Nothobranchius furzeri: one gene and its partners. The protein of the gene in region 3 purifies or fractionates together with the protein of the main gene of each other region. This does not show direct contact. Links are inferred from orthologs where the notes say so. Each region holds a gene or a part of one and is shown on either strand. Other genes may lie near its edges.

Region 1 (3,578 bases), on a different chromosome or scaffold from region 3:
TATTAATGTTTAAGTTTGTGATTGGGTTCATTTCCTCTCCTTACAGTGTTTAGCTGAACAATGTCCTCCTCCAGAGAGCTGATGGTTCGGTCCTGCTCCTTCACGAGCTTCTTCAGGTATGAGATCTCCTCCTTCTGCACTACCAGCTCCCTAGCCTTCCTCAGCTCCTGGAGGCGAGCCTCCTCCATCCTCCTGTGCCACTCAGTGACCTGTCCAGGTTAGATTTGGTTTAGTAGGAAATAAAACATCAGCTCAGAAATATCTGAAACACAACAATCGCCTCTGACCTTCTGGGCACCTTTAATGTCCTTCAGTGTTAATATGAGCTCCTCCAGCCCTCGCAGTCTCAGCTCCAGCTCCTCAGCTCTTCCCTCTGCGCCCCTCCTCTCCTCCTCTGCCTTCCTCCTCTCCTCCTGAGCTTTTGTTCTGTCCTCCTGGAGTTTCATTAGAGTCACAGAAAACTTCTCCTGCTGAGGTAGAGGCAGAGCTCCGGCAAACTGCCGGCGCAGGGACTGGATGGTTTTCCGAAGGTGCATGGAGCGGCTCCTGCCCTCCTGGCGGGCGAGAAACAGAGCTCGCTCGCTAGTGTCCAGTCGCTGCTCGGCACGCAGCTTGTAGGCCTCCAGCGCCTGGATGTGGGTGGCGGAGGCCTCCAGCCTCCCCACAGCAGACGACTCACTGAGCTGCAGGGCTACAATGTGCTGGTGGAGCTTTGCAATGAGGGCCTTCTCGTCGGACTGGGACTAAAAACACAGATGCAGAGCATCGAGCATTTACATTATCATCCTACCTGTTGCAGATGGCTTCCTGAACAGCCTCAGTTCGAAGAAACAGCCTTTCTGTCCTACAGAACTGAAGTGCAAATCTGGCGGGAATCGTCAGCTCGTCAGTTCTGAAAACTCCATTTCTCTGATCTGAGGCTGTTCAAGAACAGGTAGATGGGATTTACTCCCAACTTCAAAATGGCCTCAACTAAGGTGAGCAGCAATGTGGAACGGCAAGAGGAACTGTTCTGGGTTAAAAGTGAACAAATGTTCTGTTTTTGTTTTTCCTTTTGAAGAACAGCCTCTAATGAAGCTAGCCGAGCTTTGCTGTAAACTGAAATGTGTTCATCCAGTGTGGGATTGTGCTTCCATTCAGCGTGTCCACAGACAACGTTTCTTATTGTTTCAGAGTAGACCAGCCTGAAAAACATGTAGATGAGGTGTGAAACTCATTCATTCGGTTATTTTTAGTCTCAGGGCGACTTGTTCAAGTGCTGTGAGAGAAAGTAAAGGAACTAAACAAGAGTTTTAAGCTGTTTCAGATTCAGTCTGGAGGTTTAAAACAAGGCCGGTACTTAGTGGTGGTCAGAGGGGCCGACGGCGCCAAATGGCAGCCTCGCCTCTGTCAGACCTCCCCAGGGCGGCTGTGGCTACAAGTAGCTTACCATCACTAGCAGTGTGTGAATGTGAGAGTGTGTGAAAGCGTCTTTGGGTGTCTAGAAAAGCGCTATATAAGTTCAATGCATTATTATTATTATTATTATTATTATTATTATTATTATTAAAGCAGCAGAAATAATCACAGGGTGTGATTTGAAATGTAACACGTCCAAACGCAATAATGAAAAACAAGTACACTTGTTTTTGGGGAGAAGGGACTTGTGAATAACCGTGGGGTGTAGAAAATGAGACGTGATCTTTTTGACACGGAGCAGGACCTCTTGACACAACAGCACGATGACTGGGCGACCTGAGGTGAGGGAGGGAGTCTCTTAAACTCATCTCCAGTGGTCTCTAGTATAAATGAATCCCTTTAGAGTCGATCTCTGTGGAAAAAAAGCTCTAGCGCTCCTCTTTCAGAAACTAGAAGTGATTCAGAGGAGAGGTGAGCAGAAGATGGCAGGAAATGGAGTCTTACTTCCAGATTTTGATATATCTCTCCTCTGACTGGCTAACAGCAATGTGACTCTACCTCTGACTGTTTGTTCTGCAACACTGATGTTTTATCTCCACAAATAGCTCAAGCATGAAGTTCTGCTGTGTGGTGAAGTTGCTAATGCTAACAGTTAGCTTCTGCTAGCCCAAATGTGTTCTGCTCTCTCCTGGACACTAAACCAACAACAGCCCTTCCTGTCGTGAGCCAAGATGGGTCCATGAACGTTAGCTTTCAGTGTGACATAGATCTGTGAGGCTTTTCTAATCTGAGCGTTTTCCTGTTTAACACAAGTTTCTCTTCTGTTCAATCAATTTATCAAGCAATCCTGCTTTATATCTTCTACATCTATAGTCACTGATGAAGGTGCTACCATCTACAAATAGAAACTAACAAATAAAACAATAAAACAAGCAACACTGGTATTTGCTGGAATCCCCTACACAAGGACCCTGGCAGTTACCTGTAAGTCCAGTAATTGTCTCCTTAAAGCTTCTACTTCTGTATCTTTGGACTTCTGTCGGGCCTGCAGAGCAGACACCTGAGCCATCGCCACATCAGACACCTCCTGCAGCCTGTTAAAATAAACACACACACACACACACACACACACACACACACACACACACACACACACACACACACACACTTACACTATACATTTCTCTAAAGACGATCGTTAAAGTTTTTATTTGTAAAATCCACAACAACAGGAACAGATCATTCATGTTTCTAAAATATTGATGTTACTCCCTGCCCATGAAAAACGGTTGAATTTCAGTCATCATTCCTGTGAAAACATTCTTGTCTCTATAATCCATCACCAGGGTTGTGTTTGAAGATAGCGGAGTATCGGGACAGCGTGAAACGTACTTGGAGACTTCGAAGCGGAGCTCGGCCTCCGCCTTCTCCAGCTCTGAGATCCTGGCTCGATCTGCATCGCTCACAGCTTTGCTGACGCTGTCTGCCAACTCATCTCTTAGCTCCCGCTCGGTCTTCTGGGCCTCCGCATTCATCTTTGTGAGCTGAAGGAAAACAAAACCACAAAACTATTTGGTAAAAGAAAATATTAATAGATGAGAGGAGATCAAGCAGCCAAGGGTCAGCAATTATAAAGCGAACTGGTCTTTCCACACAGGCTGTGTGTGAGGTGAAACCCCGTTCTGCACCTGGAAATGTAAGATAGCACTGTCTGTATGTTTTCAGATGGACCAAAGCTCACTGTGATGCTGATGCCCACGCCTTTAGAGCCTGACAGAAGAAAACAAATCCTCCGTGATTTCTTTGGCGTCTTACTTCTGCAAACTTGGACTCCAGCTCGGCGTTGCGCTCCTCCACCTGTCTGAGGGAGTTCCTCGTGTGCTCGTACATTTTCTGGGCATGCTCGGCTCTCTGTCTCTCATTCAGCTCCTTCATCTCTGAGGTAGTGATTTGTCTTGCTGCAGATAGCATCTCGTTGTTGATGGACGCCTTGTCTGACTTGGCCATGCCAGGTTCCACACCTAACCAAAAATAAAACATCGTGTTCAGGGTGGAATCCACCAAACCAGGTCTGTGGCTGTGTCCATGTCAGACCTAGAGGTCTAAATGGAACTACTCTGACTCAGATGTGAGAGCTCTAGAGTAGCGCTGATGGCACCATTTGGTCGGAGCACAATGAA
Region 2 (4,188 bases), on a different chromosome or scaffold from region 3:
TATCCCTACATTTAAAAGCAAAATGATGGGTCAGTGTAAGAATCTTTGCTTTGATGTGTTTAACACAAAACTGCGCGCATTGTAAGACGACAGAAATGACACAGGATGTTTTGATCTGCTCATAATCATGCTAACGGGCTAGCGGTAGTCATCTGATGCAGCCATCACTCCAATGTCCAGAAAAAACACGGAAATGTTACTTTTTCTGTAAAAACAAAACAAAATTTACACCACCTACCATCAACTATATCACTCTGTAAATCTGATACACCCATCTTGTTGCCCCAAACAACGGCAAGCGTTAGCTAGCAAGGGGAGAGCAAGAAGCGTCGTTAGGTTGTCAGATGCTGTGCGAAAGGCATTGTGGGAAATGCAGTTCACTTATTCACTTTCATTGGTATATTGCATCGACTTTCGTCTTAAAAAGACTACAGTTTTCCAAAAGCGCGCCGACGTCCCGACAGCCAAGTTGTAGTGAAAAACCATAATTAAAAAAAAAGACTGGATAAAAACGTCAAATTAAATATATAGGATTCAGTGTAAAACTATAATCTTTTTTATTTGCATCATACATTTGTTTTTTTCTTTACGTTTTGTTGCTGCGCATGTTTGGCAAGAGAGAAATATTGTATGAACTTATTGTAGTCATATTATTATTTTATTGGTTTGAGATTTTTGTTAGTATTTATCCAAAAGAAAGAAGAAAAGTGCCTAAAACGATATTAAAAGTGTACTTTGAAAGTACTCTAATTCTGTTTCCGCCTCCGTCATCTCTCTTTCCGGTTGTGAGCCGTCTCGTAGCCATCATGAAGTAAGTGTACCGAATAAAAATCTAAAGCCATCTCAACATTTAAATAAAAACGATTAATGCGTTAGCCATATAAAAATGTATTGTTTTTGTTTTCCCTTTTGTGATGTATTATATTTGTCATTTTCAGGGTTGAGTTGTGCAGTTTCAGTGGGTATAAAATATACCCCGGCCATGGCCGCCGATATGCCAGGATAGACGGAAAGGTAACTTCATCTTGTGTCCCACACCGGTTCTGTACTTAGCCGGTCTGTAATAGATATTAACATTTTCTCTAAATGAAGTTCATCGTATCGGAAATGTTATTGCTCCGTTTCTGTTGTATCTTCTGAAAGCCTTTTTACATGCTACAGTTAACGTTAGCAACCAACGTCATCATTAAGCGACTCATACGAATTTCCATGATCAAATGTAATGTTTCTAAATGTACAGCCACAAAATGTTACCAAGTGTAAATGCTATCTATTTTTGTAATGTATGTTGCATTAGAAGTAAGTTGTACGATTTAATGATGTATGACTTACATTTTAATGGACCATATCGCTTGTCAGTACAGCAACATTTACCATCTGATCTAGCCCTGGAAGTATTTTTAACCTGATCGTTTTAGTAATGTAATATGTGTTGAATGTAAGACGTTCTGTATAATCAAATATATTTAAATGTTTTTGGCAGGTCTTCCAGTTTTTGAACGCCAAGTGCGAGTCTGCCTTCCTGTCTAAGAGGAACCCCAGACAGATTAACTGGACTGTGCTGTACAGACGCAAGCACAAGAAGGGCCAGTCTGTAAGTGGCAGCTTTTTACTAGTCTTCAAGGACGAGGCACTTCTGATTTATTTATGTTTTCTTAGGAAGGTCCTTTTGAATGTTGCGGTTTTGAATTGATAACATTCATTGTAAATTTTCTTCTATTCACACCATTATTCATGCATTAAGTTGATCAAGCATATTTGGCTGCGAGTGAACGATGTGCATGGTGATGGTCCATGTTATGTGTTGTTGCTGAACTGTGTTTTGCAGTTTAACAGCAGTGCTCACACCACACCTGCAGCCATAGAACAACTGGGGATCATAGTACTGGCCTTTGACTGTCTTTCTTTTGGCATCTCTGCATTGGCCAGCCTCCAAACTCTCCAACATAATATTTTTCACCCATTTGTATTATTTCAGGTGTATTGCAAGATGGACAGTTTTCACAATTAAAATATGAAATTCCTTGAAGCGGTGCAGTCAGTTTTGCATTTTTGCTGTTTTAATTAACCCAAGTAAGGGTTTGTAGCATGCTCAATGTTCATTTCAAACTTTAAGTCTTTGTCCTTTAAAGTGTTCTTGTCCTAGAAATAAAATAGTTAAGTGTTTCATTAACTCGTTTATTTTGTGTTAGTGGTACCAGTTTTACTGATTTTAGAGTTGTGTGTTGTTGACATGCAAAGCACATTAAAATGTCACATTCAGCATGGTACAAGTAAATGTCATTTGTGTCAACAGGAAGAGGTGACAAAGAAGCGTACCCGCCGTGCAGTAAAATTCACGAGGGCCATCACTGGGGCCTCCCTGGCTGAGATCATGGCCAAGAGGAACCAGAAACCCGAGGTCCGCAAGGCCCAGAGGGAGCAGGCCATCAGGTCAGTGGACAAATTATAACTAAAGCTTGGAACCGACCCGGAGTACACATGACCAGACTGGTTTCAACAAGTGTGATTAAAGACTGGGATCACACACTTAACTGGTATTGATGAGGCTGTGAGGGATCACCGAGTACAGTTTCTCAAACCAACTTCCGACTGAATCCATCAAACTGCCAAGCTGCATCTACAGTAATAGTAGAAGGAAGTAAACATTAAAAACACTGCTGCTGTTTGCTAAGATTAAAAAGAAAAATTAGGGTTGGGTTAAGCCATGGAAGGGTTAACGTTTGAAATTTGGACTATCATTGTTTTGACATTCCTACTATTTATAAAATAATTTGAAGCCATTTCCCCACATCCCATCATTTCTTAAACATTAGCTGTTAACACATATTTGCAGATGAGTTTAACAATTTAATGCAACAAATTTATAAATTTAAACATGTTTGACTGCTGCTGACTTTAGGTCGGGTCTTTTTTGCACTCACATTTCTTATTTTTACCCCATTCACACATTTTGTTCCAACTAATCATGCAGACTAGACTGTTCCCAACTAGTGCAGACAGAAATGGTCAAATCTGACATAATGTTGTGTCTTTAGCTTTGCTCCTATTTTCTCAGTAAAACCATCAAATTTGACTTTACTGAGGTGAATGAAATGTTGGAGCTTTTTCTCACTGAACCTCAGTTTGACCTCAATGTTTTCAGTCCTAAACATGCTCTCACTTTATTCTTATCTGATAGCAACTCAAAGGGAAGCAGTTCTGACTATCAGAACAGTGATGCCATTACATTACTTTAGCTACAGCTTCTCATTCGGAGCAGGTAAAGGAAGAGACAATTTTCTATAACATGTTTTTGCTGGATCATTTAAATAATGACCGAAGCAAACTGTGTTTATGGATACTTTTTAGTAGTTTCAGCTTGTGTTTGAATTTTAAATTTAAAGTGCTACATAGGATGACTTTAAAGGGTGGGTTGTACAGCCATGTTATTAATAATGTAGCCTCCGCTTTTCCGGTTCGCGCCTCACTTTTTTTTTACAGTAGCGGCCCCAAATGATCTAATACATGGATTTTCTGCTTCCTGATCATGTGACGTATGCGAAGATCGGCTTTAGAGCTGTTTGTTCTCATGGTGCGGGGGCTCGTTCCAATGCCCACACAGTAAAAACATGCAAATGACGACTTAAGTCAATGGCAGTAAATGAGTTAACATTCAGCAAGTTAGAAAGGTTGATGAATGTGTGCGTCTGTTTTAGCCTGGTGTGCCAGACTCGTCCTCTTGTCTGTTCTACAGAGGACGAGTCGGGATACTCGGAGGCAGACAGCACCATGAGGGGTGGGACTCGCCAGCTCAAAAATAACCAATCACCAAAAAAAAAGCGAGTGACGATTGTAATTTATTACCTGTAGGCAAAGATGGCATCTAGTGACAGTGCAAACATCTTTTTTTTTAAACAAAGGCTTTTTAGCACTTCATGTTGAGGTTTTAAAGACATGTCCAAGTCATTTCGAACAAAGCCAAAGCAAACTCCGTTTCAGAAGCCATCTTTGTTTTATGAGAAACTGAGTGTGCGTGACGTACGCTGCTCAGCACTGATTGGCTCAGTCGGTGGAGTTATTTCAATAGGAATGCTACCAGGTCCTTTGCTTTCCATGAGAAAGCATTGGCATGGCTGTCCATGCTACATTTGTTATACAACAGTTACACTGAACTTCTGCGCCATTATAATTGCAAGTGTTTTATCA
Region 3 (4,330 bases):
GTTAGATAAGCTGCCAGGGTCACCACGGTAACCAGCAGTCGCTCATTAAGGTCTCCATGTTTGCTTTTGTTTATCCTTTCTTGAACAGTTGGGTAAAGAGAATCTGCTGCACTGACCTGTGTGCTGATGACATCACTGTTCAGGTGCTTGGAGAGAGGAGGGTAGAGCTCCAGGCTGACAGTTAAAACACCAGCTGGGACTTTGCATTCACTTCCTGGTGGCACACAAACCTATCAGCAAAGACTGCAGCAGTCTGTAATCAAAGCACGAGCAGAAAGACAACAAGCACTGAGGCCTTTACACGTCTCCACCAGCTGTCCAACTGTGGAGCTCTTGGACTTCTGCAAACGTGCCCTTCTTCATGCTGGCATCTACTGAAGTCTCCATTTAGACTAGAAGTGAGGAGGATACATCACGTTGGCACCTCTGTAGCGAGGCTGTACGTAACCCTGAGAGGACCGCTGATAAACGAGCTTAAAGGACACATCAACACTAAACAAATAAAGATTTTACTAAACTGATTTGACTTCATAAGGGTCTTGATTTCATTTATCATCCTTTAATACGTTTTAAGACCCCGCCCTGAAGTAACATGGCTTGTTTGTTGAGGGGTTTCGTACATGGTCTGTATTTGTATAGCGCCTTCTTAGGGTTCTACAGCCCCCCCAAGACGCTTCACAACACAATCAGTCATTCACACACTGGTGATGATGAGCTATGATGTAGCCACAGCTGCCCTGGCGCCACCGGTCCCTCCGACCAAGGCCGGTTAACGCCCAAGGACACAACAGCAACATTCTCTGTTCGGAGTGGAGATCAAACCTGCAACCTTCTGATTACTGGGCGAGCCGCTCCAGCTCCTAAACTCCTGCTGTCCCATATGTGCTAACCGATCCAATGCAAAGCTTTGTGTTCATAACACAGATTTCATTTGGAGCATTTAAAAGGGGATTTAAGATGAACTTATTAAACTTTTATCCATTCTCACCGTTTTAAAAACATCAGAGTCTAGCGCAGCAGCTGTGTGTGTTGCTCACCAACTCCCATCAGCTCCACTGCAAAGCACGTCTTGCCACTTGGCGAGCTGAGAACTATCCTCCAGTCCAGGAAGTAGGAGGAGACAAGTGTTGTCTCACCAGAGGTGTCTGTCTTGATCAGCACAAAGTGGACCGGGTCACATATGGACAGCATGTCTGTGGCATCCACCATCTTACTGCCATCTCCTGTAATCCCACAGAAACCTTCTGACGTAAAAGCTGACTACAGAAGGGCTGATGTACTCATTCAGCTGCATCCTTTACCGAGGCCATCTTTGTGCATCTCCAGCAGGAAACCCTCCCTCAGGTCAGGTTCACAGGCACAGGGTACTGGTTTAGAGTGAAACCTCTGGTTGTGAAAGTGTAGGTAGAGTTTAAAAGTAGAGCACACCTGACCAGGTAAAGGCTCTGGCTCCTGGAGGTGCTCAAGAAATGCTTTCCCTCCAAGAACTTGGAGATGAAGATACCGTCTAGATGGATCAACGTTGGCTGAGAAAAATGAGGAGTGCAAATAAAACATCAACCAGTGCAACTGTGCAGTTTGATATTTTATAGATGTAAGCAAAGTTTCTTACTTTTCATATGCAGAGGGACGTCTGGGTTAAACACTCCAAAATGAGTGGTGGGCTTCGGAGGAGGTTTTAGTCCTGCATCTGGAGCTGTTCCCTAACAAAACAAGCAGATTTCGTTAGGAAATTAAATAAAGGACTCTGCTTTTGATCAGGTTCAAATGTTATCTGGCATTTTAATCCTGGAATATCCAAAGCTATTAACCTGAACAACATCTGTATGGTGCAGGGGAGCCTGGGTAAAGTGGAGATCTTTCATCACATCGTCTATGATGCCTCTGCGTTGGAGAACACGAAGGACATCTGCCTCAGACAGAGAGCGATGCCCTGAGCCCTGATCCTCTCCGAGAGTCTCAGCAATAAGCTCTCGGATCTTCCCATGGATGTCCATCTGACCACAGATAAACACTCATTATGAGGCTTTTACTTTAGCCGAAACAAGAAACACGTTAGTGAAGCACCGCTTCAGAATAAACTTTACTAACAGAATACTTTAGGTTGGGTTTGTTCTATCTGGCTCATAAATACACACACACACACATACATACATTCATACATATACATACACACACACACATACATTCATACACAAACACGCATATACATATACATATACACACACACACACACACACACACACATACACACATACATACATACATACACACACGCGCGCACACACAAAGAGCGCTTCAGCACATTAACAACACAAGCTGTGGCTAGCTACATAAGTAAAGAGTTGGCTCACCTTCAGTAAATGGTTGTGGATTCTCTGCTTCAGCTCGGAAGCTTTCTCTGAAGGAAGAGACATTGCAGCTTCGGCTAATGATGAACCCAGAATAAAACGTTCACCTAACAATAATAAAAGCGTTATTCCTGGTCTGAGCTATAATCCCTATGGACGTGTGCATTTATTGAGTTTTCTGTACTGCTGTTCTTCACAGACCAGTTTGAACGTTTGAACTTTGGCGAAAAAGCTAGCGCGCAGGTATTTGCCTCCGCTGATGCCTGAACAAAATAAATGTAAAATGACTAAACAGTATCAGTTATTAGGTAACACGATTACTTCAATTTCACTAAATCCTACAAATATTAAACTAATCATTGAAATACCCCATTTAAAGTGGTTATGCTAAAAACATTGTTAAATTTAGTCAGGCTTAATATTAGTTATCCTAATGTCATCAATGCAAGCGACTCTCCATAAAAGGACCCACAGTTGTAGTTCAAATTAAATTTAATTAATTTAGTCAGCAATTTAGTCGCGTTAATTTCTGTACTTTTGATTTGTTTTGTGCTTGTGTAATTCTTATTTTAAAATACATAAAACATTAAGTTATAAAATACTAAAACCAACTGAATAACACTACGTTTTATATATATTTATCTTACTGTTGAGTAATCTGTGATGATTCCTCAAACAAATACTGTAAAATATGTGTACTTCCATCTCCACAATAACGGCCTCGTCTTAAGATAATAAATGAGTTACTGGAACCCGGTGTCGGTACAAGATCTGTTCGGGTGCAAGATCGGCTCGGGGTCCGTCGACTGCCGATGACGTCAAAGTAGTTGATTGGCTGAACATGAACCTTACATAATTACGTAATCACGTTACGTTGTTATTACATTACGTTGGTCCAGGCAAATCTTTCTGTTGGAAAGATGGACAACTTTTACAAAGAAATCCATCTGTGGTCACGTGGGTCTGAGGCGGCGGTCACATGGGTCGGATGCTCATTAATTATACAGAATTTTAGGCTTTTAATACACTTAAACAGAAGAGTGAGAAAAAAATTCACCCCCCTCAGAGTTGTCATGAGTGTAAACTAGATAATTTAAACCAAAAAATGTTTTGGTACCAGGCCATAAACATGTTTATTTCTGCTGTGAAATTGATATTTTTAACATGGGAGTCAATGAGGATTTGCTCGCTTCTGACACCAGCCCCCAGCGGATGAGGGTGGAACTGCAATTTATTTCATTTCCGCGTTTGCTTTAATTTTTCACCCGCATTGTGGGGGCTTGGTTTTACCTAAAACATGGTATCTGCCAAGGATGCCCCATCTCGCCATACTTATTTTTACTTTGTACCCAAATTCTTACAACTCACATCTCAAATAGTTTTGTTCATTTATATTGTTCTTCCGGGGTCCCATGGTCCGGAAGTAGATGGGCGTGGTTTATGACCTCCTGTTACTGATGAGAAGAACAGATTATGATCTGTTTCATTGATACAATCTGGATCGTAGAAGTCCAGGATGCAGGTGGCAAAGATTATTTGTGGATTATTCTGATCCTGAACAGTTTTTCTGATGCTTCCTTCTTTGCAGGAGTCTGAGGTCCAACAGAACTCAAACGTTTCCTCTGTTATGGTTTCATCAGTAGAACACTCCCTCACGTCTTTACTGCCATGGGCATTTTATATTTGCATTTGCAGTGCGTCCTAATTTTCCTTTTGACTTTCCTCATCGAAGGCCTGTTTGCACTAAATGCCACAAATAAATTCCGCATATATGAAGTTCTCAATTTACTTGGCAATAAAGCTAATAATTTATTTCAGGGGCTGCTGAGAACACAATTGACTAACTCAAACGTTAAACCTCAAACTGCTGTACAGGGTGGGCCATTTCTATGGATATACCTCAATAAAATGGGAATGGTTGATGATATCAACGTCCTGTTTGTGGCACATTAGTATATGTGAGCAGACAAACTTTTCAA

The links.
Region 1: the proteins of cep76 (region 3) and cep290 purify together in Homo sapiens (co-immunoprecipitation; 5 studies listed by BioGRID and IntAct, with this or other methods). This does not show direct contact. The link is inferred for Nothobranchius furzeri from reciprocal best matches to the Homo sapiens genes CEP76 and CEP290.
Region 2: the proteins of cep76 (region 3) and cep97 purify together in Homo sapiens (co-immunoprecipitation; 4 studies listed by BioGRID and IntAct, with this or other methods). This does not show direct contact. The link is inferred for Nothobranchius furzeri from reciprocal best matches to the Homo sapiens genes CEP76 and CEP97.

The regions. Positions count from the first base shown.
Region 1 is NC_091744.1:50,579,369-50,582,946, reverse strand, and holds part of cep290 (centrosomal protein of 290 kDa), read right to left. Parts: intron 3,420-3,578; coding exon 3,214-3,419; intron 2,943-3,213; coding exon 2,791-2,942; intron 2,493-2,790; coding exon 2,381-2,492; intron 744-2,380; coding exon 288-743; intron 210-287; coding exon 45-209; intron 1-44. UniProt on the Homo sapiens protein: Involved in early and late steps in cilia formation. Its association with CCP110 is required for inhibition of primary cilia formation by CCP110.
Region 2 is NC_091754.1:25,617,031-25,621,218, reverse strand, and holds the start of cep97 (centrosomal protein of 97 kDa), read right to left. Parts: upstream 2,830-4,188; 5' UTR 2,621-2,829; coding exon 2,536-2,620; intron 2,434-2,535; coding exon of another isoform or gene 2,297-2,433; intron 1,951-2,296; exon of another isoform or gene 1,768-1,950; intron 1,595-1,767; coding exon of another isoform or gene 1,484-1,594; intron 1,015-1,483; coding exon of another isoform or gene 939-1,014; intron 812-938; coding exon of another isoform or gene 606-811; exon of another isoform or gene 276-605; coding exon of another isoform or gene 239-275; intron 1-238. Other genes in the region: rpl24 (large ribosomal subunit protein eL24), read left to right, coding at 606-811, 939-1,014, 1,484-1,594, 2,297-2,433. UniProt on the Homo sapiens protein: Acts as a key negative regulator of ciliogenesis in collaboration with CCP110 by capping the mother centriole thereby preventing cilia formation. Required for recruitment of CCP110 to the centrosome.
Region 3 is NC_091745.1:49,054,242-49,058,571, reverse strand, and holds the start of cep76 (centrosomal protein of 76 kDa), read right to left. Parts: upstream 2,828-4,330; 5' UTR 2,418-2,827; coding exon 2,355-2,417; intron 1,998-2,354; coding exon 1,812-1,997; intron 1,704-1,811; coding exon 1,613-1,703; intron 1,527-1,612; coding exon 1,302-1,526; intron 1,224-1,301; coding exon 1,038-1,223; intron 215-1,037; coding exon 117-214; intron 1-116. UniProt on the Homo sapiens protein: Centrosomal protein involved in regulation of centriole duplication. Required to limit centriole duplication to once per cell cycle by preventing centriole reduplication.